Arabidopsis thaliana: one gene and its partners. The protein of the gene in region 3 interacts with the protein of the main gene of each other region in a pairwise test. Each region holds a gene or a part of one and is shown on either strand. Other genes may lie near its edges. The genes, in order: ATRPAC42, DIR1, CERK1 and AT1G62120.

Region 1 (7,652 bases), on a different chromosome or scaffold from region 3:
AATATTGATATGATCATGTATTGATCCAACACACTAAGCTACATGGACTAGTAAACTATGAATTCAACAAACAAAGTAACTGTTAGCGTTTGAGCCTGTGCTCAAACCTGCAACAAGAAAAGATGAATCAGTGTGATGAAGATGAGAAGCAAAGCAAAAGAAGAACAGAGCAGAAGCAAAGACGAAGACACGTTGGAGACGTGAAGAGAGGAGTCAACGATTAAGAGGAGGAAGACACAAGTCAACAAAGGAGATCGGGCTTACTGTTTTGTCTTAAGGAGACGTTGGGCTACTTGGTTAAGCCCAACTATGGTTCTATCTTAAGGAGAGTAGTATGCAAGAATATGTAAGTAGTAGAGTGGCTTGCAAGAGTCTAGAGTTAGTTATGTGTTTAAAAGCATGCTTGTGTGTGTAAGTGTGTAAGAAAGTAGTAAGTAAGTATGTGTATGTTGTGTAAGAGAATCATGCAAGCTTTATTATCAATGTACTCGTTTAAAGTGCTTAAACCGTTAAACGTTTCTTGTTTTCTCTTTAGAACAATGAAGAAGAATACGGAGTTATGGACGAATGGTGTGGGGAAAGGAAGAATTAAAATAACCACTAAACTCTTGCACACACATTATGCACTGGTCTTCTGTATTTAGAAATACTTTCTCTTGTTATAATTCAAAGATACACAAACTAATAATTACCAATTCAATTTACAAAATATAGTGTCAAAGAAAAAGATCAAAAAGATTCAAAAACATTGTTTTTTTTAACAATGGCTGGTCATAAAAAGAGTCTTACCCGTCTTTTCTTTGTTTCAGTAATTGATTATATTATCATTGTTCAGCGGATTAGGAGAAGGAAGCAAATATATAAACTATAAAGATATGATAAAAGACAGAATTCCAGCTTGCGGCAGTAAAAGCCCCCAAAGAATGTGTCAAATTTCCAGTCAACCTTTACCATCGTGGTTGTGAAATTGCTACGCGTTATCGTCGTGAACAACATCCGGATTCGGGTTAAGAATATATGTATGATATGATATGTCTAAACCATTTTCTATAAACTATGAATTTTTTTATTATTATTGATGTGATATTGTATATCGTCATACCGTCAAAATTTAATTATTGTAAGATACTTTTGTTTTATTTTGTAACCTGGAATTATTTTTTTTTATATACTAATAAATTAATATGTTACCATGCATAGCTTAAACTTCTTGTTAAAAAAAAAAAAAAAAAAAAAAAAAAAAAAAAACTTCTTGTAATAGTGGTATTTACTTGTAAATCATAGTTAGACGAGTATTTTGACATTTGGTAATTGAATCCGAAGAACTTAAAATTGTTTGGTCAAAACTTCTAAACTCTTTCAAAAACTCAGCACCCCTATTTGTGGTTATGTTGTAAAGATCCACTAATAACCAATAAAACATGTGAGTCTTGTGATATATTGTAAAACATGTTCGTTATAAAATTCACAACCACATTGTCGAACTTTGTTTATATTCCCTTATCATAATCAGTCTTACTATTAGCATAATCAACTGTTTATGTACTGATGTCTTCTAATTAGAAAACTTAAAAAGGTAAAGAAAAAATAGAAAAAGAAAGAGCTCAGTTAAGAGGCCATATCACCAGATAAACTGGAGAAATGCAAAGGACCCAACCTTTACAGAAACCGATTTCATCACAGCTCTATTGCACCAGCCGGGAATCGAACCCGGGTCTGTACCGTGGCAGAGTACTATTCTACCACTAGACCACTGGTGCTACTTGTTTAAATGTTACTTCTTCAGTTATTTATACATAAACTCTCATAGTTCATATTTAATGAGAACATTTTGTATAATCTAATGTGGCAGGGATCTATTCTACCACTGACGCTATTTTAAGTGTTCAATGAAACCAAAAACTACTATTACCAACACACACCTTGATTGGCACAATGTAAGGAATGGCGTCAGTGTTCTAGTGGTAGAATAGTAAAACCAAATTAAACCGAAGCAGATTTCCAAAATTGGTTCAGCTAGGAATTTTGTTATGAATCAGAACTCAGAAGGCTAATGAAAATCCAAATTGAACAACAACCGTATAAATAAATATGTCAATGTTGTTTGTTGGTAATTTATCAATAGGAGGAGAAACATTGATAGACAGACAATTCAAAATTGAACTAAACCAGAACTCAAAAGTCGGTTATAGCTTCACATTTAGCTTCCAATATCTTCACAGCTTCAGTGAAGAGAACCTCTGGAGGCAGTGATCCGGTGGACTCAATGTTAACTGAGAAAAAAGACGACAAGAAACTCAATTACGATATCTTTCAGATCATGAGTAGCAGAGTAAAAGGAATGGGTTTTATTTTTCTCTTCTTACATATAAAATGGTTCTTAACACTGCCAAGATCCACATGGTCTACCAAATCATCGTCTCTTACGCATTCCTTACACAATGTGCACTTACGTGGCTGCGCTACTGTTGCCCTTTTCTTACCTGTTTTCCACAAGTCAGTATGAAATCAAATTTAAGTAAGTCATGCAGCCAAGTTCATCAGCTTGCATAAGATTTTATACTTCACCTTTTCCCATGTCTTCAATGTCGAAAACATTCTGTGGGCAGACGTTTACAAGTCGTTCAGCAAGTTCATCCTCAACTTCCCCACGTAGAACCACCTAAGATAGTATAAACAAAAGCATTACGAAACATATATATTGGGATGAGGAAAGACAAAACAAAGAGCTGTTTCCCATAAAGCATATGATAGATTGATGTATATACTTCTCACCTCAGGATGCATTCTATACCAAGCAGTCCCTACTGGAGACCACTTTGCATGTGTTTTACCAATGCCCTTAACCGCATGAGCTTCGAGCTCGATTTCCTGGGAAAAAAGAGATAAAAGAAGATGCACATGTTTCATCTCTCATTGCAAGTATGGTCTGCTTGGGTGTATATAAAAAGAATGTACAGAAACACTACCTGACCAGGGGCGAGTTTTGCTATCAAGATATCGAGGTCGCATGGAGTGATAGGATTATTAGCAAATTCAGGTAATGAATCTTGGCTGCAACTGAATGAAGTGTAAGTTTTTGGCTTTGAGGTTTTATTTTCCGATTCTCTCAGAAGCTCACTTCCATTTGGTAACCATTTTAAATCACTCGTTAAAACTACAAGAAAACGAAATGATATCTTTCATGAGAGATGGAGCTGATAATAAAACAAGAAATCTTCTGATGCTAACTAATGAACATATATTACCTTTAAGACGTGGTCTATTTTTCGGACATTTCACATGGAGTTTGAATACAATGGTGTTCTTTTCATTCGCCTGATCATGTTCTATCATACACAGATAAAGAAGTAAGCTAATCAGAAGAATTATCATCATATGTAGATGGATCACATACCACTGAAATATATGCTTACCGGATAAATATTCAAAAAGTCTTGGATCTGCGGCAATTGGAATAAGACCCATCCTGTGAGCAAGAACTTCGTCTATAATAACCGATGTGTTGTACGCTATCAACACTTTTTCAATAGCCATTGAAGGAACCTGCAATAAAGAAAGAAGCACTTTAAGCCAAAGATTACAACAATGAGGGATTCATCAGAGGTTGTATGAAAACTTGACAGACCTCAGCTATAAGGATCCTTCGGAATGCATTGGCAAACGCTGCATCAATACCAATCATATCAAATTCCATATCTGTCTTTGTGAGACTAACCACATCAACTTTGAAGTTATCATAGAAGTTTCCTAGCTTCACATTGTCGTCCTCTTCCGTAGAAGAAACATAGGTACCCGAGTAAATGGCACTCGCAGTCTACAGAAAACACAAACACAAGATTAAAGACTTCAAATTTCAAACAATCACTACTCAATATCATCTTGAATTTGAAAACAAAAGGTGTATTCTGGTAAAACACTTAAGAGCCAAACTCGTAAATTCACAGCTTTTCACAGGAAAAAACAAAACTTTTACTCTGTATCATGAACACAGCAACGATAGAACTCAAACCCACATGGGATCATTGAGAAAAGCTATAAAATTTGTAATTAGATAAGCTTATAACCAACAAAACAGAGCATAAAAGATTGTAACTTTGAACGAGAATAGTTCTTACATGAGCAGGAGCGTTGTTTTTAGAGACGACACGAGTTTGCTGGGCTTTGAGATGTGGAGGAAGTCCGGCAGGGACGTCAGGGAGATCGTCTATGTTGAAATTTTTGGCGAATTGTTTTTCTGCTTTAGTCACCATCCTTGTCTAGGTCTATAGCAGAACTAGGGTTTATCAAATTGAGAAAGAGAATTGAAGGGTTTAACAAAGGAAACCACAGGGGGTGAGGAAAGTAGTATTGGGTCAAAGAGTGAAGTCGAAGAAGCTTACCTGTGGCCGAGAGAATTGAGCAATTTAGAGAGAAAGAGAGAGTAGGAGGCGGCGGCGAGGAGATGAAGAACAAACGGTGAAGGGTTTTGAAAAAGCCGCCGGTTTTATTTAATCCCTTAACTCTTTCCGGTTCGAATTAAAACGCATTATTACCAAAAGAAACAATAAAAAATTCATTTCAAAAGAATACTTCTTCTTTTTTTACATTTCAAAAGAATACTGTTTAACACTAAAAATAAAGCCATTACTTTAAAAAATAAAAATTTATTCCACAAGATGAATACTTTCTTTTGCTCATGATTTTGTTTTATAGCAAAAAACAATAATAAGAATTTATTCTTTTTCGGTGAATTGTTTAATTTAAAAAAAAAAAAAAAACTTTTCTGCAATCAATTCGCAGCATATTGGTTAAGCTAAGAATATAAACTAAAAACATATGTAAACAACAATTCTAGGAATGACTCCTTTTGTTTTTGGCATCTACTGTGAATGATAGGCTTTTTTGAACTCTAATTAATATTGGTCAAAAAAAAAATGTCGATGGGACTCTTCTACGTTAGTATCTAAGAATGTGGCAATAGCACTACTTAATTTAGAGCAAAATAATAGAAGAAAACACGACACTTACTTCATCAAATTTTTGTTGGGCAATGAGAATGTTGTCTATAATAAAGTTTCCGGCTACAAAACACATATTTGTATCTCGGATATCAAATACAGAAGAAGAAAAAAAAACTTTGAGGTGCAGGCTTAGAATCTTTGAGATCATCTTATGTATAACATTACAAAGGCTAATACAGTAGGTCGGAATCTTGACATTTCCTAGAGTTCTATCTCCTTCGGGAATTAGGTAAATATTGGAGCATCAATGCGATGAGCAAGTCATGACCAAATACTACAACAGTTACAAGTTACATTCCTTTGCGTAGCAATCAATCAGCAAATGGTATATTGGTAATTTACTGACACTCTGCTAATAGAAGGAAGAGCTCTTCATCGGTTATGGCTCCCATCTCCATTGCCCTTTCCAACACACTTAATCCTCCACCATCCTCTATTGATGGACGAGCACCTCTGTCAAATTCAAAGAAGAGAGACACTAAGTATCTACTCAAAGTGCCCCTCATGAGATTTATTAGTTAGTGTGTTACCTTCTCAGCAAAACCTTTGCAAATGCGTTGTTCCCTGATGCGATGCAATGGTGTAATGGAGTTCGTCCGTGGTAATCTCTCATGTTTATGTCAGCCCCGAACTGCAACAGCAGTTCAAGCAAGATTGGGTCACCGCTTTGACACGCCACATGCAACAATGAGCAGCCTTGAAGACAGTTTCTTGCTTCGTTCGAATTCTTGATTCTCTGACACGCATTTGGATCGTGCCTTTTCTTTACTTCATCTGGTGCATCAACATGGTGGTGGTGATATACATCAAGGTCAGTAATATCATCGAACTTGGTATTGATGATATTTGCATCTGCTTTTACAATGAGTCGGTAGATGTCTCTTATGTTCCTGCTTTGAACCGCTTCCCATATTCTACTTGAGGCAGTAGAATTTGCTTCTCTTTCATCTTTGACAACTAGTGCTTTCTCCAGGTACTAGCTAGGCATAAACATTATCAGCTTTAGTATCATAAGCCTTTTCTATTCACAAGAATATGCTCATTTGGATGATGCGTCAAGTGACATGAATCTGAGGTCTATGTATGCGAAAACTTTAAGAACTAAATCTCATACCTTTCCGTTAATATATTTCTCCTTCAGAGTAAACCAATCTTCTGAAGATGGTTTCGAAACTGATGCAAGTGTGTCTGTCGATCCCTTTTCACTGTAAATATTCAACAGAAGATAGGATCATAGGAAAGTAAAGATCACCAATCTCATGATTTTACACAATTGGGAAAATAGAAACTTGTAAAAGAGGAACAGATGATTTTGATTCAAGGAATGTTATTTCTTGATTGTGTTATAGAGACAGTCTTTACTTATATAAACAATCTAATTTTCCTTGAGAAATTATACCTGTCATCGTCAAGGTGATGAAGTAGCTCCTCCCAGACTGAATTACAGTATCCGTTGCCTAAGTTCCGAAATAAGTCCAAGATTGTAGGCTCCCATACTTTCACATCCAATGTGAGCGATCTCACCTGCAGACATTCTTTGACATTAGCTAAATATCTAAGCTTCATACACAGATGTTTAATTCAGCAAGAAATATAAACACTTCATCTTAAAAAATTGAGCTCTGCAAATTTTGGTTGATGCAAAGATATATAGCACATGGTTAGCTTTACAACAAATGAGCTTATACAACCTCGAACTAAATGGAAAGAAGCTACGCAATATCGTACCAAAATGAAGAAATTTACCTTGGATATATGAACGCCGAGATTCCTGTGAACACCAGAGCATTCAATGCACATCAAAACTCCAAGATTCAATGATGCCCAATCGGGGTCAGGTGCATTGCATTCTGCACAAGTGTTATTTCCAGGAATTTCTCTGAGTATTGTAAGGACGTCATCCCCCACATTTAGTCTTTGATTATAATCTTCTTTTTGATTCAGGGTGAGGTTTTCAGTGGCAGGACCAGAACTAGTATTCTTTTTATCCAAGTATCTTGCTGGTGACTGCAGAAGATATTAGATTCTATAACAACACAAAATTTTCAATTTGAAGGTAAAAGAAAAGTATGAGACTCATATTGAGTAAACCTGCTGCAGAAAATGAGAATTCAGACGTATTGTTATAGCTGCTGTGATCTTATTTACCCAATCCATCCTATCAGCTCCATTTTCAGCCTGTAGCATATAGAAATAAATTGTGTTGGCCTCTTGATGCTATATTTGCTCCTTCACGTTTCTATATCTAATAAATTTAGTACCTGTAGTGTGTAAGTCTTTTGAGGAGATATAATTCTAAAACAGAGTCGAAGATCTGTGTCCTCTGCGTCCAATTTTATCAGTGAAGTACGGAGATCGATCATATTGCAATCTAGGCTTCCCTGTGAAGCTGATCGATTGTGTCTTGTACGAAATCTCCCAAAGACGCCGCTACTATGCTCTCCTAAACCACTGTAGTAATGCTGAGATTTCTATAAATAGAAAAAGATGATTAGAAGGATAGAAACTGAGAAAGTGAAACTTAAAATAAAAGAATACACAGGTGAGAGAGATTTGTTTAACAGTCAACAAATATAAATATAGCCAAGACATGAGGGAGTGCTAGTATATCTACATAACTATAAAAATGTACGAAATTGGACATTGGAA
Region 2 (6,107 bases), on a different chromosome or scaffold from region 3:
TTCGAAACGGATGGGAAAAAATAAAATCGTAACTTTTGTCCTATGTGTACCATTCAGAGTTACACAATGATAACAAACTAAAATATTTGATGACACAGTATATAACAAAGATTAAAATATTCGAGTAACCAATTTTAATTGATTTCTTTCCAACGGTTTAATAGAGGAGACATGCGAACGAGACACGAGTCCTATAGGGTAGTAAATGAAAAGTGATTAGTAGGGGCATATTCACGTAAATAAATCAAAAAGTAAGGGTAAAAATCCACGGACGTGAGAGCAATTGTTATATCCATTTGAAATCCTCGTCAGGTTACACGAAACGATTCCGCTTCTCCGCTTCCTTCATAAATATCTCACTCATCGTCTCTAGATTGTTCTTTCACACGCAATTTTCATTTCTCTCTTAACCGTAAACGAATCTCTCTTCTCAAAGTTTTATTTTCTCTCTGCGATGGCTCAAGAAGATGTTACTGCTGTTGCTACTAACGGTGCTGGTCCGGTGGAGACGCATCTTGTCTTCACTGAGTTCAAGCAGATGTTGCTCGTTGAAGCTCAAAAGGTCGGTGACGCTGTTACTTTCTACAAATCTGCTTTTGGTGCGATCGAGTCTGGTCATTCTCTTTACCCTAAGCGTAAGCTTGACCAAGAGCTTCCTCATGTTCTCTCTTCTGAGCTTAATCTCGCTGGCTCTTCCTTCGTTGTTTGCGACGTTTCCTCTCTCCCTGGTTTTTCTACGTAAGTCTCTCTCTCTCGTTTTGGTGTTTAGCTTCTAGATCTCCATGTTTTCTGTTTTTTTTTTAGGTTTTTGTTCGTTTAGTGTTTGATTTCGTTTTAGATCTGGTTTTAGGTTGTTTTATTAGAAGAAATCTGGAGAATAAATCATGTTTAGAAGTTATTCCTCTCCCTTAAACACGATTTTTTTGTTCGTTTTAGATCTGGATTTAGGTTTTTGAAATGAATAGTTTTTGGAAACTTTTATAACGCTTAAAAAACTATTTTAAGTGGATGATTGTGCCTTTTCTTAAATACGATTACTGTTTACTTATGTGGTTTTGTTTCTTTTTTAAATCGTTAAACAGTGCGAAATCGGAAGGTTCGGGAGTGACTTTTCTTCTCGGAACTAAGGATGCTGAAGCCGCCGTTGCGAAAGCTGTTGACGCCGGAGCTGTGAAAGTGGAGGTTACGGAGGCAGAAGTTGAACTGGGATTCAAAGGAAAAGTTACGGATCCTTTTGGTGTCACTTGGATCTTCGCGGAGAAGAAGACCGTGATCACCGACGAGAACAAAGAGGTTTAGAATCTGTCGTCGGATCTAATTCTTCGTCGGTTTCTGAACAAAAAAAACTATCTATTATCCTAGGTTTATGCTTTTATTTTGTCTTTTGTGGAATCCGGTAATCAGTAAACCGGATCGAGTAGGCTAATGACTTTCGGATTCTAATTTCACCCCTTTTGACAAACTCTAATCTTGGTGAAATTGCATATTAATCTCGGGCTATATTATGTTTTGTTGATGATTTCGCTTCTCTATCTATCTTCTATAATCGTTCTGTGTTTAATCTGTGTTCTTTGTCATTTTTGTTGGTTTAGTACTAAGGGTATAATCGTCTATTTGGAATGAAAATGAAATGGTTAGTGATTAGATAAGACGGAATTAAGAATATTTGTTGTTTTGGTGTCAGAGTGTTGAATACTGTGTCAGAGGTAGTGAAACCATAAACCTCTGTATTTGTGCTTTGTGGTTTCTCTCTATCGCTTATTGGTTACATATTTTTCGAAATTGCCCTTCCGTGTTTGGGCCTTGTGTAGTTTTCGATTGGTCCTCTTTCTTTTCTTTTGACCAGTTTTTGGGGTTAACCCATAAACGCCATTTGGCAGAAAATACGATTTATTAATAACATCCGATATTTAGAATAGGAGTAATAAAAAACATAAACACACGTATACAGAGTCTTTTAACAAGTTGGGGCGTTGGCTAGACCACACTGTTTGGGGAGAGCAGAAGCGAGTTCAGGATCAACACCGAAAGAACCGAGCCATGGAGAGTTCTTGTAACCACAAAGACATGCAAAATCAGCGTGTTGCAGAGCGGTGCAGCAAGGCTGTGATGGGCTCGTCGGATTCTCCTTGCTAACCGCTGGTTTGCACTCATTCAACTCATCCTGGCTCATGCCGCAGAGATCTATCGCTACTGATGTATCGACCAACATAGCCATTATCACGATCATCGCCATCATAACCATAGCTGCTTTCTTGCTCGCCATATTATTATCCTCCTCTCTCTTTTTCTATATGTTTGTTTGTGTTTGTGGTGTTGAAATGAATGTGCATGAGAAGGTGTATATATATCAAGTTTTAGAGAAACCCGTGAACCAGATTGGATTGCTCCATATAGTCACGGGGATGTGTTTTTCCACTTTACTTTTGGGAGAGGGTCTTTTGTCATAGAATCATAAGCTTTCGGATTCTTATCAATTATCAAGTATCGATTACACAATTTCCAGTCCACAAATCTTTTACTACAAATGGAAAAAGAAAATTCAACTTGCACATTGTATTTGTATATAAAATTCTCTTTTAATCGAAAAAAAACACATTAATAAACATCCGCAAAATACTGGGCCTGATATGAGCCCAAGTAAGAGTACTCTAAGAAGTTTCACAAATTACGAAAATAAAACAGTTAGCGAGTATTACTGTTAAGTGTCAACAACAGTTAGCTACTTTAACCACAAAACAAATGAGAACATCAGTTAGTATATAAACGGGACAAAATATAGAACGAAGAATAAATCCAAATCTCTAGATTCTCAATTTTTTTGCTGTTCTATTTTCAAATAAATGTTTTATTTTCTTTGAGAATTTCAGTCCTATTAGTGTAATTAGTGATAAACTCATAAGCATGGCACATACGAGATGATTATTTGGTCTACGAAATGGTTTAGTGGATTTAATATATGTATTTTTATAGTTGATACTTTTTCACCATCTAATCGTTTTTCAACTACAATTACTGTTTTTACCGGCGATCACTGTTTTACCGAAACCTAAAAAGTAAAAACTGTATAGTGGCAATCATTATTTTACCTAATTCACAATTATCTTCTTTTTGTTAAAGAGATTTTAGGAAAAGCAAATTAGGCCTTGGCCAACGAAGGTTAGAAATAGAAAGACTATAACAAATGACCAATTTTAAAGGTATATGAGCCAATGGAAAAGAATAGAAAAAGGAGGAGTTCATTCTTCATAGTCAAAACCATCAAAATTTCATTTGCAATTAGATTGAGATCTATTGTTCATGATGAATTTGATGCAACAACAGCATTTTCATGACTTTGTTTTCTCTATTTTCATACTATTTTTTGGTGAACTTTTTGTGACGTTTTTATGATAAGTATTTTTGATTTTATAGGTTTAGATCATTGATATTATTTTGTGAAGTGTGAACCATAGCTATGCGATAATCTCGGTATGAATCTAAGCGAATCCATTAAAATATCCTTATATTTAATTAGAATATTCCATTAAACATGGTAAATAATAAACAAACAAAGGAAAACACCATAATGCTTAACAAGTTGGGGCGTTGGTTAGGTCACACTCTTTAGGGAGACTAGAAGCGAGCTTGGGATCTACACCAAAAGAACCGAGCCACGGAGAGTTTTTGTAGCCACAAAGACAAGTGTAGTCAGCATGTTTCAGAGCGTTACAACAAAGTAACGATGGGCTCGTCGGGTTATTCTTGCTCACCGCTGGTAAGCATTCATTCAACTCTGCCTGAGTCATGCCACAAAGGTCAATCGCCACTGACCTCTCAACGACTAAACTAGCCATCACCATTACAATCACCATAATTGCCACCTTCTTGCTTGTCATTTTATCCTCTTTATTTTTTATATATTTGTTGTGTTTGTGGTGTTAAAATGAATGTGCATGCAATGGTGTATTTATTATTAAGTTTTGGAGCAAACCCGTGAACTAGATTGGATTTTCTTTCTTCACTTTTGGGATAGGGTATTGGTCACTTGGATTCTTATTATTGCTGCTCTTTTTTGTTTTTTTTTGGTATTTATCAATTATCCACAATCTCCAGCCCACAAATCTTTTACTACAAAATGGAAGAAGAAAATTCCAGAGTAATACAACTGGCACATTGTGTAAATTTTCTTGATATTGATAAACATATGTTGCTTCTTACAAATATTTGTGGATTAATGGCAAGTAATTTGTATGCCACTATAACCAAGAAAAAAATACAACAGTTATTTGTATGTCACTTGCTGATTATTTGTCACTTTTTTTTTCCGGTTAAAATTTAATTTAAATTTATAACATAATATTATATTTACTTTTAAAAACTAATTTAAAATAAAATATATCTCTATAAATAGTAAACAATCAAACAGAAAATTAATAAAACTAGTCATGAATTATTGTTTTTGTCTAAATCTTATTATCCGTACTTGCGAGTATCTAAATTACGTTATTTGTTATTTACTTGATAACGATGAATCTTGTCTAAGGCGGATACAAAACCAAGTAATGGATGCAGGGCAACATATATTTATTAATGTCATAGACCCTAATTACAACTTATATATAACTTTTTTCAACTAATACACTTTATAACTACAAATATTCTTCTTATTTATATAGGTAAACTAATCAACATTTGCAAATACTTTTTTCCAAAAATAACATATATGAAAAAGGCATTTGCAATTACTGGGCCTGATTTTAGCCCATGAAGGATTTGTGCTTTTCTAGTGTTTCGATGCTTTTTAAGAGCTTCCCAAACTAGAATATCATGTAACTCTCTCCTTGTTCATTACCCATCAATTCCAGATTTTTGAAATTAAAAGGAGCTTAAAAAGCTTATTGCACATTTCAGATTTGCTCGCAAATAAATGCTAAGGAAAAAATAAAAAATTTGAAGTTGAAAAATAAGAGGGAAAAAAGGTTTAGCATGTCTTATTTTATTTCTGGATATTTCAACTTATTTTATCTATTGAAATTCATTTTGGATGCTATTGTCAGTTTTATAAGAACTCAATAACCAGACAAATCTGTATAACTAAAATATTTTCCAGATAAAGTTGATTTAATTTTAGATTTGAGTTTGTTTTGGTCAAAGTATTTATGATCGTAAACAACTTAAACCTAATATAAAATCTAAAGACCTTAAATCCAGATTTTACTTGGGTTACCAAAACCTGAATAAACCCAACCCAAAACTTATTCTGGCCACTATTAGCTACGTTTTCTTTATTGGCAACAAAAGTTAGCTACTTTAACCACAAAACTAATGAGAATATCAATTAGTATATAAATGGGACAAAACATAGAAGGAAAAAAATAAAAAGAGAACGAGAACGAGAATCTCTCTCAATGACTCGAGTGTCGAGACTATTCGGAATAAAAGAAGCATACAAAGTTTACTGCAGTTTTCAGACTTACTCACAAATGGTAAAGTTAAAAAGAAAGTAATATGAAGTTGAAAAAATAGATGAAAATTCATTTCCAAAAAAAAAAAAAGAAGATGAAAAATAACCTTTGACCATTGTCTTAGACTAGCCTTTCCCTTCATTCTCTGTGAGAAAATCCAAATCACTAGATTCTCAATTTCTTTACTTTTACTCTTCTATTTAAAAAATAAATAAATAAGAATTTCAGTCCTATTATTAGTAATATTCATGGCACAAACGCGACGATTCTTTGCTCTACGATTTTGTTTATTCAATCACTCACTGATAATAAATTGGTTTAAAGGTTTTAATATACGTATTTCTAGATGATAAGTTTATATATTTCACTCACTCTAATCTTCCTCAAAATTGGTAGGGTTGAAAGACAAGAGCATAAGTTTTCAAAGATAATTATTGTTTTACCTAATTTACAATCATTTTCTGCTAAGCATTTGAAAAGAATGAAAGCAAATCATTCCTATGCCAACAAAGGTTAAAGAGACTCAATTTTAGAGGTATCCGAGCCAATAGAAAAATAAAATAAGAGGAAAAGGAGGAATTCAGATTTCATAGTCAAGAACTTCAACTTTTATATGCAATTAGATTGAGATCTATATGGTTCTTAGATTTGATGTAACAA
Region 3 (8,661 bases):
ATTCATCAAAAAATAGAATCACATACCACATTTCCTCTTCAGAAAACTCAAAAAGTAAGTGGACCAAGAGATTTAAAATGTCTGCATACAGTAAACTGGTCAGGTCTCCTATGCTCAGAAGCAAGAAACTGTAGCCTCATGGAAGCAATATGCTTGTACTCTCGTTGTAGGACAAAGCAAGTCCAAAAGGTAATAACATAAGCCATACACAAATGCACCCAAAACCTGTTTACATATACTAGTCAGAATATTCCTCATCACTAGAATCAACTAAAGCCACAAATATTAAAGAAGTTTCTTAACCTGGATGATCCAGTTGGTATATTCGATATAGAGAGTTTATCAATATCACTAAAAGTTAGATTCTTTAACTGATCCAACGTCGAGTTAGTCCAATTAACCGGTACCATTACAGTGAAAGCAATACATGCTATAGGAAAAAAGATCTTCAACCTACAAATTAAACCAAAGATATCACAAACTTGTTTAAAACATTCAAGAAAGAAGAAAGGATATACAAATATACATACCCGAGTAAGTAAATCCTGAGATAGACAACAGAATCCAAACCAGCATGATCAATAAGTTCAGGCTCAGGCATTCTCAAAGCTTGAGGCATCCAATTCAAGAATCTGATGTAAGATCGAAAATCCAAATTGACAAACTTGCTAGCAAAGCCACCTGTTTTTATAGGACTACTTCTTAAACCCTTGAGATACCATTTAGGGAAATAGACTCTGTCGTTAACTGGTTGAAGTCTAAGTATCGCAAAGGCAATGAAGAAAGCAAATGCGGTTAGAATATTGATCGTTGCTGCGACTCCGATATCGGTTAGTGTCGCCATGATTTAGAGAGAAACACACAATGTTCCTGAAACAAACGAAAAAAATTAGGGTTCCTTGCAATCCAAGGACTTCCAAATTGCCAATATTTTTAGCTAGTTTTTCTCCATAAATTTCTCGTTTCACCCAGAAATCGGAATTTTTGGATCCTAGTCATAGTCTTTTCAGATTCCGTCAAATCCATTAAACACTGAATCAACTCTACAAATGAGTGATTCTTCACATGAATGTGAAAGATAGAGATAAAGTTTAAGTTTTTACCTTTCTCAAGAGCTCAGCGATGAAACTCGTCTTGTTGTTTCTATCTGTGAAGTCAAACAACGTTGAGCAGAGAATGAAGGAGAGGAAGAAGAAGAAGAAGAAAGTATTAGGGATCAAAAGAAGAAGCAGAAACATTCATAAAAATGAGATTTTTAATTTGTGTGTTTGGGTTTATTTTGGAAATTGATCCAAAGATTCAACTGAAGTGAGATTTCTGCTGATTCATACGTTTTGGGTGTTACAAGTCCATTTAATTAATTAATTAACTAATTTAGCGAACCGAGGATTAAACGGTGAAGGACACCTGGCAAAAGAGATTAATTTGTGTTAAATAAAGTAATAGTGTTAATTAAGGAATTTGTATTTTAATTGAATGTTTTGTTGTTTAGGACATCGTCCGTTACTGGGTTCCTTTTCAGTTTCTTTAGAGAAGCAATAATGGTTTATTAGCCTTATAGGTCTCGCCGTATTAGCATGTTATTTATGTTCATATTATAACGGCTGTATTTTATATTGGTTTAACGTTTTCTAATGTATTTATTTATTCCCTGATTTGAAAGTTTAGAGGACACATTATGTTAAAAAAAAAGGTTTGAGATCTGACTTTTGGAATGAAAAAGTTTTGATTTAATATTAGTCAGTTTAAGGTAACTTTTTGTGTGTTTTAAATAATTATTCCGTTACAAATAATGGACAAACGAAAAAAAATCATAGATATATGTAGCCGTATCTGTATGTTGTTGACAGAAGAAAAAAACAAAAAATGAAATATATTGGTTTATGGTAAAAGAATATTCGATTACTCTATTTCTAATAAAGAAAATCTAGCTAGGTGAAATAAGAAACATACTTAGTGTTCTAAGCTGGAATATAGATTTTATGTATTGGGGAATCCATGTGACAAAATCATTCGAATTTCTTTGGTGTTATGGAAGACTTGTTCTAAGCTTCGTGAGAGTATCCATCACAAAAAGTTATATTTTTATGTTTTGATTTTTTTGTCGGCAAACTCGATTTCAAAAAATTTATTTATGAGAATTTTAATGCATTTCATTATTATCTTTGACGTGAGATGCTGATATCGGAGACGTTGAATAATTGACATATAGAGCGTTATAGAAAATCATATAAAAGTCAACTTGTGAGTTGTGACATGTAAAGTTCGTATAGACAGACAAAATATACGTGAGCATACCAAAAAACAATCATTTCTATATAACAACAGCAAACCGGAAAACGAGTCTACCGGCCGGACATAAGACTGACTAAATCTTCGTTTTGGAAGTTTCCAACATCCCAATTTCCGGTAGACGAAAAGAGAGTGGATAAAGCAACCACAATGTATCTCATACTCGGACGTAGCTGCGCATTCTCTTGTGTACATGCTTTCCCTAATTCCGCCATCTATACCACAACACATAAAACACCAAATTGGCTTACCCCGTTATTAAAATTAGCTATGTGCAATCCGGTATTCGGTTTGATTTTTCGACACTTTAAGCTAATCGAATAGCACATTGTTCAGTGAATACCGGTTTTTAAAAATCGCACTTTTAATCGGTTTTTCGGACCAAAAAACGGATTGGACACCCTCTTTTAGAATGATCAATGATGAATAGAATAGGGAACAAGAAGAGATATTACCTTGTATACCGAATCAAACGGGTAACTATCACCGAGCCTCGGGTCTATAATCTTGCGTAGTGCTTCTTCTTTGTCGGTTTCCTTGAATGATTCTTCGAACTGAATAATAAATAAACAAAGCATATTGTTAAGTGATCCACATACATGCCTTTAAATCAGAAAGACTAAATGTTACGAAGAAACAATAATACTAACCACACCAACAAGGCCTCTAAATTCACCAACGGCTTCTGTCATTTTGACAACCGCACCTTTCGCAGAAATCAATTCGTAAAGGACAACTCCAAATGCATATACATCTACTTTTGCAGACACTTCTCCATAAACAGTCCTGCATACATACATATATACACCATCACTATAGTGTAGTCTCTAAAGTAGTATATAAGTGTAAACGAGATCAAATTCTTTACTCTGGTGCCATGTAACCAAATGTACCCATTGCACCCCGAGTTGCTGAACCTCCAACTTCTGTCAGTTTTGTTAACCCGAAATCTGCTACCTGTAACACGTAAACGACTCAGAGCGGTGACAAAGGAAAAATCTAACCTTTTCAGTATTTTTCACTTTTGATTGACAAAAGAGAAATCGAGAATGTACCTTTGCTCGGAATTTCTGGTCTATCAAAATATTGGCAGATTTAATGTCCCTATGGACATAAACTGGAACCGTGTGCTCGTGGATATATTCTAAACCTCTAGCTGAGTCTAGTGCAATCTGCACTCTCTTAGTCCACGGTAATGGTTCTCGTCCTAGTTTCACATAAACTCTTTTAGTTTACAACTTTCTCGAAAAATGATTCACTTTTGGAGGTCTTTATATTGCGTACCTGACCCATGTAAATGTTGTCCAAGGTTACCATTCTCAACATATTCATACACCAAGAAAAGTGATCCCTCAACACAATATCCAATCAGGCGAACCTGCAAGAAAAAACAAATTCGTTAAAATTTGGCTAAGACTTGATCTTCATCTGATCTCAGATATTATCTTGAGAGAACACAAAAGGGGTTTACCAGGTTGACATGATGTACACGCGTTAAGACTTTTAGTTCCGCCAAGAACTGTTTCGATGCCTCCATGTCCATCTTCTTAATCGCAGCTTTCTATACAAGAACCGAATAATTTAAATGTTCCATGTGTAGTAGCTTCAAACAAAAAGATATAAAAAGATATCTGCTTACTTCTCCTCTCAGCTCTGCATAGTAAACAGCCCCAAAACCACCTTGCCCAATCTTAAAAGACAAATTGAAATTATCAGTAGCCTTTGCTAGTTCCTCCAACGAAAACTCAACAGATTTGTCCACGCTTATGGCAGCAATGCCAGGAGACACTCCGGCACCACCCAAACCTCCACTTTGGAGACTAGTAGAAGAAGCTAAAAGCAGATTTCATATAAACATAATAAGCAACTCCCAGCTAACAAAAGAGACAAAAACTGCTTGTATATGATCATCACGAAATTACCATGATCAGCCTTAGTAGACAACGGAATAGAAGAAGAAAACGAATCACCCTTCGACTTATTCTTCCGGTAAGCATAATATACGATAAACAAGATCAACAACAAAGCCACAATCACTCCTATAACTATACCAGCAATAACTCCAGCACCAACACCATCTGCTAATACAAAAAAATATCAAAAACATACTCTTCCATGTCTCCTCTTGCTTCGTGCATAATCATCAAAAGCTCAAAAATGGAGAAAAGAACCAACCTTGTTTACTACAAAAAACATAAGAGAAGTAGAAATACATCAGTAAATAGATATCAAAATGAACAAAGATACAATCTTAACAACAACAAAAACAACCTTGATTTGAATGGTGGAAATGCACCATTTGGATCTGCAAAAAACACAGGAACATGTACATAAACTTCAACAATCATTACTACATTTATAACAATTTGTGTCACAAATCATCAAAGATCAATCTTTGTACCTCTTCCAGGCACATAAACGATTCCATTCCCGGAGTTAAAATTAACACCGGGATTATATCTCTGCAGAATATCCGCCGATACACCGGAAGATCTCGCAATAGAACTGAGACTGTCTTCAGGACGAAGCGGATACGTAACAAACAAACCAAAATCTTTCGAAACACTCTCATCACCACAAGAACAATTCACCAATACATTAAGCGTCGCAGAGAGAGGTATGTTAGTCGCCGGAAAAGGATTCCTCGCCTGTAACGACTCCATCGTCGTGAGATTCGCGTAATTACTAATCGCGACTCTTTCGTAAGTATCTTCCTGTCGAACACTGTAGCTGAAATTGTGCCCTAGGAAATCACCAGGTTGACATTCGCAAGGGAAAGGTACAAGAACCCTAGAGCCCATCTGGATTCTATCTTTGTCTTTAATGTTACTGTTGTACCTGAGGATTGGATCGAAATTGATTTGATCGTAAGGCGCGATTGAAGAATTGAGGTTTTGGTTGATGACGGAGAGTGTTGTTCCGTTCTCGAGATAGTACGAAGCTAGAGCTAAAGGACAGCTAGTCCTGCACTTAGATTCCACGGCGAAGAAGAATGAGAAGAGAAGAAGAATCGGAGCGATTAGAGAAATCTTTAGCTTCATTTTGAAGCTTCCTTAGATTCCCCAGAGGAAGGGTCTCTGTTTTTTTTGTTTCGTCGTTGCTCTGTGGGGAAGAAGATGGATTCAAAGACGAAAAAGGTTGACTTAATCAAACGTTGACTATTTTTTTCAACTAAAGAGAATGATGATTACTGATTAGTGTTTGTTAATTGTTGAGAAGTTTCTTAATTAATTAATAATACTAAGATCATTTAATGCAACTAGCAGCTGGAATTTGAAAGTCTTTGGTCAAAGACAAAAACTATGAAGACCGCCATTTCTGTTGAAGGAAGTAGATTTTACGTTCGAATTTTGTATGTTTTTTGTTAAAAATTTATTTTTTTGGATCAAAATATAAAGTTACTTTATAATCGAAAACAATAGAGACTATTTTTTTTTCTTATATAAAATATTTTTCAAAATTCTCACTAATAAGAAATGGGGGTAGATCTTTCACGTTGGTCTTTTAGAGTTGAATTGTTACCCTTCTTCATACATTAATCTGCTTTAACTCTGTGGCGTCGAAAGATACGGGAGAAAAGGGAAACAAACCATTGCCATAACACTATCAACCAAAAAAGGCTCTTTGACTTAGCACCACCTTCATCTTTCCCTTTGAATATTCCTTTGTACATTTCTTTCTGCTTTTGGTACAAGGCTTTCTCTTGCTCTGCAAGTGCTCGTAGCTCTCTTCTAATCGCCTTGTCGTCAGGAGCATACTTTTGTGCCTTTCGGAAATCATCACGTGCTGAGTCCATCTGTCCTAGCTCTGCCTTTGCTTTCCCTCTTCTGAACAGTGCTTTTGGGTTTTTCTCTTCTTCTGTCAACACCTGATAAGGTTTTGAGTTTGATTAGATTTCGAGAAACCGAGTATGAACTTTAATGATTTTCTTCAAATGAATGGTTTGATGAGTCTTACAATGTTGCAGTGACCAATTGCTTCATCGTATCGTTTTAGTTTGATGAGGCAAGCTGCTATGTTAAGATGGCATGGGTTTTTAACTGCTAAAGCCATATCCTGGTACTTCCCATACAGCTGAAACATAAAATCGTCCCCCATGTATGCTATGGCCTGAAACAGCAAAACCATGACTAATCAAAAGCCGAAAGAAGACACAAGAGCCTCGAGCAGACTCACTAAGTATGCCTGAAAACCTAAACTTTGACCGTAATTGTTGGAAAGAGAGATAGAGATAGAGAGAGATGCATAACCATTTCATACTGTTGCATGGCTTCCTCCAGTTTCTCCTCCTTAAAAAGAGAATTCCCATCCATTTTTCTTCTGTCTGCTGCACCAATCCTTTCCTCTACAGTCATATCACTGCGAGCTTTTCCCTGTTCAATACATCATCTAAGTCAGAGAGGTAAGCAAGGAGGTTGGGATAAAGCTTGGATGTGGAGTCGTCTTGGTAAGGAAACAAGATGATGGTATAGGAAATAACTTACCTCCTTTGTTTCATCAAACCCAATAACTTCCACCTCATATAACAAGTCTGCCATAGGTGGAACATTCGGAAAAGAAAAGTTTCCTTCTTTCCCATAAGCTAATTCCCAGCCAACATGCACAAGCGCACGTTCACCAGACTTCATGCTAGCAACACCGATGGCTAAACCGGCTAGTTCTTTTTTCTCTGTCTCACAGACAACATTTCACTCTTAGTGCACAATCTTTTTTATAAAAAAAATTGTATAGTGACGTTAAAATGGGCTAATCAGCATTGAAGCAAAAAAAATACAAAACTCAATCTTTTTTCCTCCCAAATATCCATCTCATTGGGTTCATATAATACACAAGCTAACTCATCAAATTTACCAATGACGATTCATCTAACGAAATGGAGGTGTAGAGTACATATTCGACAGCCACATACCTTTTCCAAGAACCAATTCAATAGGTTGCTGCTCATGCCATGTATCCTCAAATTTGTGCTGCGAGTTTTTGGTCCATGCCCTGTAGTGCACTATGGCCAATATGAAATTGGTCAGATAGAAAGATTCAAATAAACAGTAGCAATAGGCCAACAAGTGCAATCGAAAAATCAACATCCAATCAACAGAAAGCTAAAGGGTACTTACAAAAGCATGTAGAGTACTTGGATGGTTTGGAACCGTGACCTTCCTTTATAATCTGCTTACTGACTTTCTCATCCAAGACCTCAGCTTCACTATCAACTTTAGGAGGAACATTACCCTCTTGAGATGGCTCACTATGCACAACGGCACTTCCTTCAGTAACTATTTCGCTCTCTTGGTCTGGAGCCACAAAAGATGCATTAGTCAACCCCAATAGTCATTCTCAATTCTTAACAAACAGAAAAGGAGTTATCAAGTCTAACAAATTTGTTGTATACATGCTTTGTTCCAAGATTCACAATATGATTTAGAAAGAATAACGCAGTCAACATAATTTGATAGACATTTATCCTTTAACAAAGCATCCAATTGAATATGGGACAACAAAAAAACTCCAATCAAACATATTGAAGTCATATATATGTATTCAGAGAGATTAAATCTATGAAAATTTACTTACCATGTGTTTGAGTTTGATGCTCCAGAGATTCATCCATTATTTCCCAAATCAACCTGGGTCTGAATAAAAATGTGCAAGTGTCAATCCAAAAATTGAATCTTTAAGTGTTGAATTGATTAAACATCGACCAAATCAGACAAGTAAGATTCAATGACAAAAACCCAAAAGAACATAGTCGAAGTCAGCTACTTGAACCATTTCATTTCAAAACAAAATCAAGTCTCGTCGTCAATAATAGCAGAAAACGAAGAAAAAGTTTGTCAATTTAGAGAAGAGGAGAGTGAACTTACGAAGTATGAGAAGCTCAAGAGTAGTGTGACTCGTCGTCGTCGTCGAAGTCACTCACGAAGACTGGATCGACCGAGAGATAAATTTCAGATTTTGATTCTGAAAATATAAAGAGACCCTTCGACTTTTCAGTTTTCACTTCAGAGTCAGCCGTTAACTAACGAGAGTTTTAACGGCGTTTATTATAATTCAGTAAAATAATATCAAATATTCTCAATTTGACCCAAAAGATTATAATTTAAAAAAATAATTATACAGTCGTCTCTCAAGAACCATTTCTATAGTGACCACAAATATTTGTTACAAGTACATAGTAACCTACGAGAGCCTACTACGACCCTGTGGACTCAGAGCTGCTTGTAGTAAGATTGACTGAGGACACAAATCTTGGAACCAGTACTGCCTCGTTGGTTACAACGGTCTTTGAAGTAGCTAAATCTTCTAACCGTTGCCATGTCCTTTCCCGTTTCGCTTTAACCTCTGTTTTATTCACTTCTTCTACTTGGAATT
Region 4 (6,951 bases), on a different chromosome or scaffold from region 3:
ATATCAGAAAAAAAGATTCAAAATTACAATTTAAAGTTACTTTTCCAAACCGGATTGCTTTTAAAGTCTAATATCAAGGTTTCAAATCTCCAAAAATAAAAGGAAAATCCTTCTGATCTATGATGATACACGACCTCTGGTGTAAATAGTCATCAACTCAAGCACCAGCTCCTTGTCACCATGGTTCCTCACATACCTTTTTAAGAACAACTCATCAGTACATACCAAAACAGACGACATTGGAGGGAGTTCACTTCCTGTGTCTCCGAGAAGTCTTTTTGACATGAGAGCTTCAATAACATTACACCTTGGGACAGTCCTCTTCTCCAGGTTGTATCCAAGTACCGTAGGATTTGAAACCACATCCTTCAGTGGCCAATTCATCTTCTTCACCACAAACTCAATCTTCTTCTTCACCGTCTCTGCAGATAAAATAAGACACTGAGGAAAGCGCTTAACCATTGTTATGAACTCATCTCTGCTGAAGCCTAGGCCTAGAAATATTTCAATGGAGTTCAATATCTTCTGCTCTGAAGTACCAATGCACTGCGGATACTTTTTCAACACTGAGATGACCTCGTCTTCGAGTAGTCCACACTTCTTCAGGGTTTCAATTGTCTGACCAATCTTCTTCTCCGAACTATTCAAAAAGTAAGGACATTTCTTGAACATTGCCCATACATCTTCCACAGCAAAGCCGAACCCTTTATACACATTAACTCTTTCTTCTATTGTTTTGTCGGTGAATCTGTAAACAGCCCTAAGAGCTTGGACAAACTTTGAGGTGGTTGGATCAAAACCCATCTCAACAACCTTCTTGAGTGATTCTTCAAAATTTTCTTTTCCACAAACAGGTTGGGCATCAGAGATGAGCAAGGAGAATAACAACTTCTGAGGCACACCCAAGTCTCTAAGAACCGAAACATTTCTGATTTTATTACCCTGCCTATTAGCCTCTGGCAAAGGTTGACACAAAGTTTCGTACTTGGAACTCTTATCTGCTTCTATAATCTCTTTGACGAAATCATAGTATCTGCCTAGAGACTTTCCCTCTTTCATTCCCAATATTTTAGGAACTGTAGAAACAATCTGAGTGAGCTCAGGGCTTGAAGCTCCTCTAGACTCCAAAAACTGAAGCTTGATATCAAGTGATTTCTCAGCATCTATTAGAAGCAATCTAGGATAATCCGTAATGATGCTGGAGATCTGAGAATTTGTGAACCCATAACTTCTAAAAAGACTCAGAACTAAATCAGGATTGCCCTTGTTCACGAAACTGACTTTCTTTGAGATTGATTCAGCGAGTTTTGTAGCTAAACCCAATGAATCAACGAGGTAAGAGACAGTAAAGTTCTTCACTTTTCGACCATCTCTTGAGCTCAAATCAGTAGCACTAGCAGAAGAATAGGAATTAGAAAAAGCTGATCCATTTTGCACAACAAATCTCAAATGACGCCATTTCTGCAACTGTACCAACCTTCTTCCATGGAGTATCACAGAATACATGACAAAGAAAATGCGAATACAAGAAGAGCAGAACCAACAAATCCCAGAAGTGTAAAAGCGATTCTACCCCAACTATCCGTTTCTATTCGAGAAGAAGACTCTGAAAATTTCTACTAAACTTACGATTGAGCGAGGAAGAAGAGCAAATTCATTCATCAATCAGTGACCCACCTTCTCATAGATTGTTAAAAGTGTGACCTTTTTCTCCATAGAGAATTAGAGAAGACTCAAAGATCCAATTATCCAAATTGAGGGAGGCAAAATTAAAAAATGAGCTCTTTAGGGTTTAGGCAAAGCCCTCGTTTTGTTTTAATTTAGAACTAAAAATAAACATACTGTTGTTATTTGGCTATACTTGTTTTTGTCTCACAACAACAACAGAAGTATTATTACAAGATGTAACAACGACATAGACTTTACATGAGCACACAAGAGTGTCTTCCTCTAAAGGTCACATACTATATGTCCATTTCTTGGACCAGAAGAGTGAGTAATATCCTTCAAGATTGTTTCGTACAAGACTAATTCATCATCCTTCAGGGTTAAAAGTATTCGTGTTCAGACAATCCAAAACCTCTAGATCTCTATTCTAGTTCTACCAATAACCTACATATGTCATGTAGTAAATAGTTGTGTTGCTGTTTCTTGGTTATTGTCCCAAACGGATTTCACATTAGAAGAAAACGGGTTGGATCCGGGTCAACTTAAGATTACAAAAGTCTAAATGGGTTTCAGACACTCATACACAAAATCTATTCTCTACTTCCAAAAGTCAAGCATCAAGATTCACTAATGAATCTAAACCTAACAGAAAACAAAAAAAAAATCCATCCTTGACTTTGCTCATTGTTCTAGGCGTGTCTTCTGATCGGTGAGTGAAACACGATCTCCGGTGAAGATAGCCATCAACTCAGCCACAAGCTGCTTGTCATCATGTTTCCTAACATACATATATAAAAACACCTCACTGGTACTTGTCAAAACAGAGGATATTGGAGGGAGTTCACTTTCGAGCAATCCTTTTGAGATGAGAACTTTGATAACATTACACCTTGGGACAGTCCTCTTCTCTAGGCTGTATCCGAGTACCTGAGGGATTGAAGCCACAGCCTTTAGTGGCCAATTCATCTCCGTCACCAGAAACTCAGTCTTCGTCTTCATCAACTCTGTAGAATATCCAATGCACTGAGGGAATCGCTTGACCATCATCAAAAACTCATCTCTGCTGAATCCTAGGCCTAGAAATGTTTCAACGGAGTTCTCTATCTTCTTCTCAGACTTTGTCAGAATGTTTGGCCACTTCTTGAACATTGCCCATACATCGTCCACAGCCAAGCCTAACCTTTTACAGGCATTGAATTTATTTTCAATTCCTTTGTCGCTTAATCCGTAAAGAACGTTAAGAGCTTTGACAAAAGTTGCGGTGGTTGGATCAAAACCAATCTCAACAGCCTTCTTGAGTGATTCTTTAAATTTTTCTTTACCACAAACATCTCCGGCATCGGATATAAGCAATGAGAATAACAACCTCTGAGGCACACCCATTTCTCTCAACACCAATAAATTTCTGATTTTGTTCTCCTGCTTACTACCCTCTGGCAAAGAATGACATAACTTTTCTAACTTGGAACTCTTATCCGCTTCTATAATGACTTTGACGAAATCATAGTATCTGCTGAGAGATTTGCCCTTTCTCTTCCCCAATATTTTCGGAACTGCAGAAACAGTCTCGGTGAGCTCAGAGCTTGAAGCACCTATGGACTGCAGAAACTGAAGCTTGGGAGCAAGGGATTTCTCAGCATCTAGGATAAGCAATCTTGGGAAAGTCCTAATGATGTTGGAGATCTGAGAATCAGTGAACCCATGACTTCTCAAAAGACTCAGAACAGAATCAGGGTTGCCCTTGTTATCGAAACTGACTTTCATGGAGATCGATTCAGCGACTTTTGTAGCTAAACCTAATGAATCAACGAGGTAAGAAACTGTAAAGTTGTGACCTTTTCGACCATCTCTTGAGCTCACATCAGCAGCAATAGCAGAGGAGGAGAAGGTATTGGAAAAAGCTGATCCATTTTGAAAAAGATTCACTGAAACCCTCAAATGGCGCCATTTCTGCAACTGGACCAACTTTCTTCCATGGAGAATCAGAGAATACATTACAAAGACAATGCAAATAACTCACAGTGTGCTAAATCTGATTCAATTCGAGAAATTGAATAAAGCTCTAACCTTTAGAGCCACGAAGCTTTTTCGCTTCGCAGTTTCCTATATCCTCTGTGTCTGTGTGGGAAGAAGCCTCGCCTCCGTTATACATCGGTGTTACTGCTTGCCGAATTCAAGTTCTGGAGCTGAACTGCGTGTCGCTCAAATTCAATCAAAACAAACCGGATGATCAATATAATTCGGTTTAGTCGACTCGTTCGATTTACTGGAAGCGATTATAAACAACATCCATTGACATGGTCACATGAACGCAACTTCCACTTGGGAAAGTCGTCATCAGATACATGAAGCTTCATTTGGATACGGTTCTTGATTTCTTCAAGTGTTTCTATGCTTTCAAAGCAAAGATCGTCCGATTGATCGAAAAGGGAAAAAACATTTGGAACTAGAGACCGAACCTGACTGGTTTAGTTGAAATGTGAACCGTTATTAACTATTTAAGCTAAAACAAATTGTTGAAATGTGACTACGACAAGAATATAAGTCATTTGAAACTACCAGTGACCGAACCTGACAGGTTTGTATCAAAACTCCGACTAAAACCTGTTATTCTGTCAGAACTCACTATACCTTTATAGTTTATACTGTTTTATGACTATCTATCTATTCACGTGAACATATTATATACAACACATTCTGCTTCTGAAGTAGACTCAATCCTACACGTACTGGCTGAATGATTCATTCCTTCTGGATCCACCTTCCCCGTAGTCTTCGTTCCATTGTCGAAGCGCTGTCATGTTGACAGACTTTGATGAGATGCTCATACTCACCTGATTCAACAACATCGACAACAGTTATACAGTTCTCTGAGCCAGAGACAGATTTGAGAAAAGAAAGCTCACAAGCAAAAATCATACCAGCTCGAGTGCGTTTCTGAAATCCTCCATTTTTAAAACTCGGAGATCAGAACCTCCACTTCCAGCTGGAGGAACTCTGCCTTCAGCCACAGCAGCATCTCGCTCCTACCATAATATATCTCATCATAAGCATATTTTTATTCTATAGACTAGTTTTAGGCAGCATAAAGTTAGTTTTCTTGGTTTAACACAAAGACTACTTACACTTTTTTCCTTCTCCACTATCTCTATGATTCGACGGCGGGCAGCAGTAACACATAGATTCTGCACGCACCAAAAGAGCATGTAACATGGATATATATGAGCATTACTTATCATTTCGTCAGACCATAGCAAAAGGTTAAAAGGAATTACTAGGAATTTTACCTTAAGATCGTTTCCAGAATATCCATTTGTCATACTAGCAACCTCATCAATATCGAAATCAGGGGACAAGTCTTCTTTTGAAAGTATCACCTTCAATATCTTTGATCTACTACGAGCATCTGGTAGTCCCACCATCAACCTGCAGAAGCCAATACCAAAAACTTGTTACGACATGTCAATTTGACAGAAAGCTTAGTCCAACAAGGAAGCTATATATAAATTACCTATGAGGCAACCTTCTAATGACAGCCTCGTCAAGGTCAAAAGGTCTATTTGTGGCTGCAAGAACCAGAACACGTTCCTTTTCATTTGTCCTCAGACCGTCCCAATTTATTATGAACTCATTTTTCGTCTTCAGCCTGTACCGATGTAGCATGCTTTCCACCTACAAGACAGTAAAATATTGTAAGACAGTCAATGCTCTGACTACAAGCAAGATTCGCCCACGAATTGACCATGAGGAATTACCTCGTCCAAAAAGATAATGCTTGGGGAAATTTTACTAGCCAACGAAAAGACAGCTTTGACATATTTCTCACCCTCACTAAACCACTGCAATATTGAGAAGAACACAAGTTTGAACAAGAGATTCCGTGTATAAATTGGTAGAGTCCAACTTTTCAAGGATATTCTGTTACCCTTGACATTGACATGTTGATGAGGTTAGCACCAGCTTCCGTTGCCACTGCCTTTGCAAGCATGGTCTTTCCAGTTCCAGAAGGTCCAAATAAGAGAATTCCGTTACAAGGCTGTGTAGAGAAGTACAGGAGCAGACTGATTAGGAAGCCACCAATCCATAACGTTAACATCTAAATTATAGGAGATAAATTTTTTGAGGAAAGCCAAATTATCAGCTAGTATTACTAATATCGTCATTACTTCACAAAACTTATGAACATGTATACTGGTACACACAAATAAAAGGTCCTTCACAGATCTGTCATCAATTCGAGGCAGGACATAGTGAAACAATATGGGAATTTCCTAAAACCAAATGCGGATAAGACAACCACCTTTGTTAATTGCCCCTTGCAGAAAAGTTCAGGCCATTGAAAAGGAAGCATAACCAGTTCCTTTAAAGTGTCTTTGACATTCTCAAGTGCCCCAATGTCATCGAATGTAACACCAATTTCACTGGGCGGAATAATATCACTTATTTCAAACGTATTTTCTGTCACAATGTCCTGAAAGCAACAGAGAAAATTAACAATTGTTACATGATAGAAGGAATTGCCAGAGTGAAAATAAGTAAACAAAAATTCAATTTCCAAGACGATTTGCTAACCTTGAGAGACTTCTTAGATTCAATTTCCAAGAGTTCTATTCCACATTTTAAGCTGCAAGGATCGAAAGTTCATTCTCAATACTGAAACAGATACATTGGTGAAAATAAGTAAACAACGATGCACAGGGACAAGCTGCCAATTACCTCTCAAGAGACAAAATAACCCTAACATCTGGATCAGCACCAGGATTAGACTTTATATGGTGACTAAGAGCCCATCCAATGATCTTTTCTGCACCTGATGCAGATATCCAAAGTCAACTTTTTCGAAAAGCATTCCATTGTCAACTCTGGTCATCATGCCGAAGAAAGGGAAAACATACTGTCTCTTCGAAGTGTGAGATCCTTCATGCACAGCGTCTCAATGCCTTCACACTCTATACCACATCGTCCCAACACCTAAATTGAGATGCAATTATGAATTCTTTATTAAAGCTTCTGTATTCCCCTGTTTTACAACAGGAAAAGGAATTATGCCATATGAAAAACAGATAGTCTTGTACACCTGAGAAAAAGTAACATATTCTAAAAGGTATACTATCACCAATTTATTTTCGTGTGACTTGAGATGGAAGCAATCAAGTCTTGAAATAGAGAAAAGATAAAGTTATAGACTTTAATGATGTGCTATCTCTGCGGTTGTGCCTCCACAATTACGTCTAACAGCCAAAATGCCACAGATATAATTTAGCTTTAATTTTTGAAGCTAAA

What was found.
Region 1: the proteins of CERK1 (region 3) and ATRPAC42 interact in a two-hybrid assay, tested with the Arabidopsis thaliana proteins (one study listed by BioGRID).
Region 2: the proteins of CERK1 (region 3) and DIR1 interact in a two-hybrid assay, tested with the Arabidopsis thaliana proteins (one study listed by BioGRID).
Region 4: the proteins of CERK1 (region 3) and AT1G62120 interact in a two-hybrid assay, tested with the Arabidopsis thaliana proteins (one study listed by BioGRID).

The regions. Positions count from the first base shown.
Region 1 is NC_003070.9:22,395,903-22,403,554, forward strand, and holds ATRPAC42 (DNA-directed RNA polymerase family protein), read right to left. Parts: upstream 4,512-7,652; 5' UTR 4,383-4,511; exon of another isoform or gene 4,266-4,382; 5' UTR 4,254-4,265; coding exon 4,119-4,253; intron 3,818-4,118; coding exon 3,629-3,817; intron 3,547-3,628; coding exon 3,417-3,546; intron 3,330-3,416; coding exon 3,249-3,329; intron 3,158-3,248; coding exon 2,970-3,157; intron 2,872-2,969; coding exon 2,776-2,871; coding exon of another isoform or gene 2,686-2,775; exon of another isoform or gene 2,663-2,685; coding exon 2,569-2,662; intron 2,484-2,568; coding exon 2,367-2,483; intron 2,274-2,366; coding exon 2,176-2,273; 3' UTR 2,011-2,175; downstream 1-2,010. Other genes in the region: AGD2 (ARF-GAP domain 2), read right to left, coding at 5,342-5,456, 5,534-5,979, 6,118-6,208, 6,403-6,527, 6,750-7,010, 7,095-7,181, 7,265-7,474.
Region 2 is NC_003076.8:19,644,360-19,650,466, forward strand, and holds DIR1 (Bifunctional inhibitor/lipid-transfer protein/seed storage 2S albumin superfamily protein), read right to left. Parts: upstream 2,482-6,107; 5' UTR 2,267-2,481; coding exon 1,958-2,266; 3' UTR 1,669-1,957; downstream 1-1,668. Other genes in the region: AT5G48480 (Lactoylglutathione lyase / glyoxalase I family protein), read left to right, coding at 455-738, 1,083-1,299; AT5G48490 (Bifunctional inhibitor/lipid-transfer protein/seed storage 2S albumin superfamily protein), read right to left, coding at 3,573-3,878. UniProt on the Arabidopsis thaliana protein: Putative lipid transfer protein required for systemic acquired resistance (SAR) long distance signaling. May interact with a lipid-derived molecule to promote long distance signaling associated with SAR.
Region 3 is NC_003074.8:7,613,198-7,621,858, forward strand, and holds CERK1 (chitin elicitor receptor kinase 1), read right to left. Parts: upstream 5,475-8,661; 5' UTR 5,334-5,474; coding exon 4,694-5,333; intron 4,598-4,693; coding exon 4,564-4,597; intron 4,476-4,563; coding exon 4,468-4,475; intron 4,371-4,467; coding exon 4,215-4,370; intron 4,126-4,214; coding exon 3,932-4,125; intron 3,854-3,931; coding exon 3,764-3,853; intron 3,671-3,763; coding exon 3,577-3,670; intron 3,500-3,576; coding exon 3,348-3,499; intron 3,250-3,347; coding exon 3,161-3,249; intron 3,079-3,160; coding exon 2,943-3,078; intron 2,847-2,942; coding exon 2,748-2,846; intron 2,508-2,747; coding exon 2,346-2,507; 3' UTR 2,160-2,345; downstream 1-2,159. Other genes in the region: AT3G21620 (ERD (early-responsive to dehydration stress) family protein), read right to left, coding at 90-225, 304-453, 531-844; TWD1 (FKBP-type peptidyl-prolyl cis-trans isomerase family protein), read right to left, coding at 5,828-6,160, 6,250-6,402, 6,543-6,665, 6,777-6,961, 7,202-7,291, 7,407-7,583, 7,864-7,900; AT3G21650 (Protein phosphatase 2A regulatory B subunit family protein), read right to left, coding at 8,483-8,661.
Region 4 is NC_003070.9:22,957,977-22,964,927, forward strand, and holds AT1G62120 (Mitochondrial transcription termination factor family protein), read right to left. Parts: upstream 4,128-6,951; 5' UTR 3,664-4,127; coding exon 2,350-3,663; 3' UTR 2,163-2,349; downstream 1-2,162. Other genes in the region: AT1G62110 (Mitochondrial transcription termination factor family protein), read right to left, coding at 118-1,506; AT1G62130 (AAA-type ATPase family protein), read right to left, coding at 4,389-4,502, 4,590-4,694, 4,794-4,853, 4,956-5,094, 5,180-5,340, 5,424-5,507, 5,594-5,704, 5,969-6,139 and 3 more.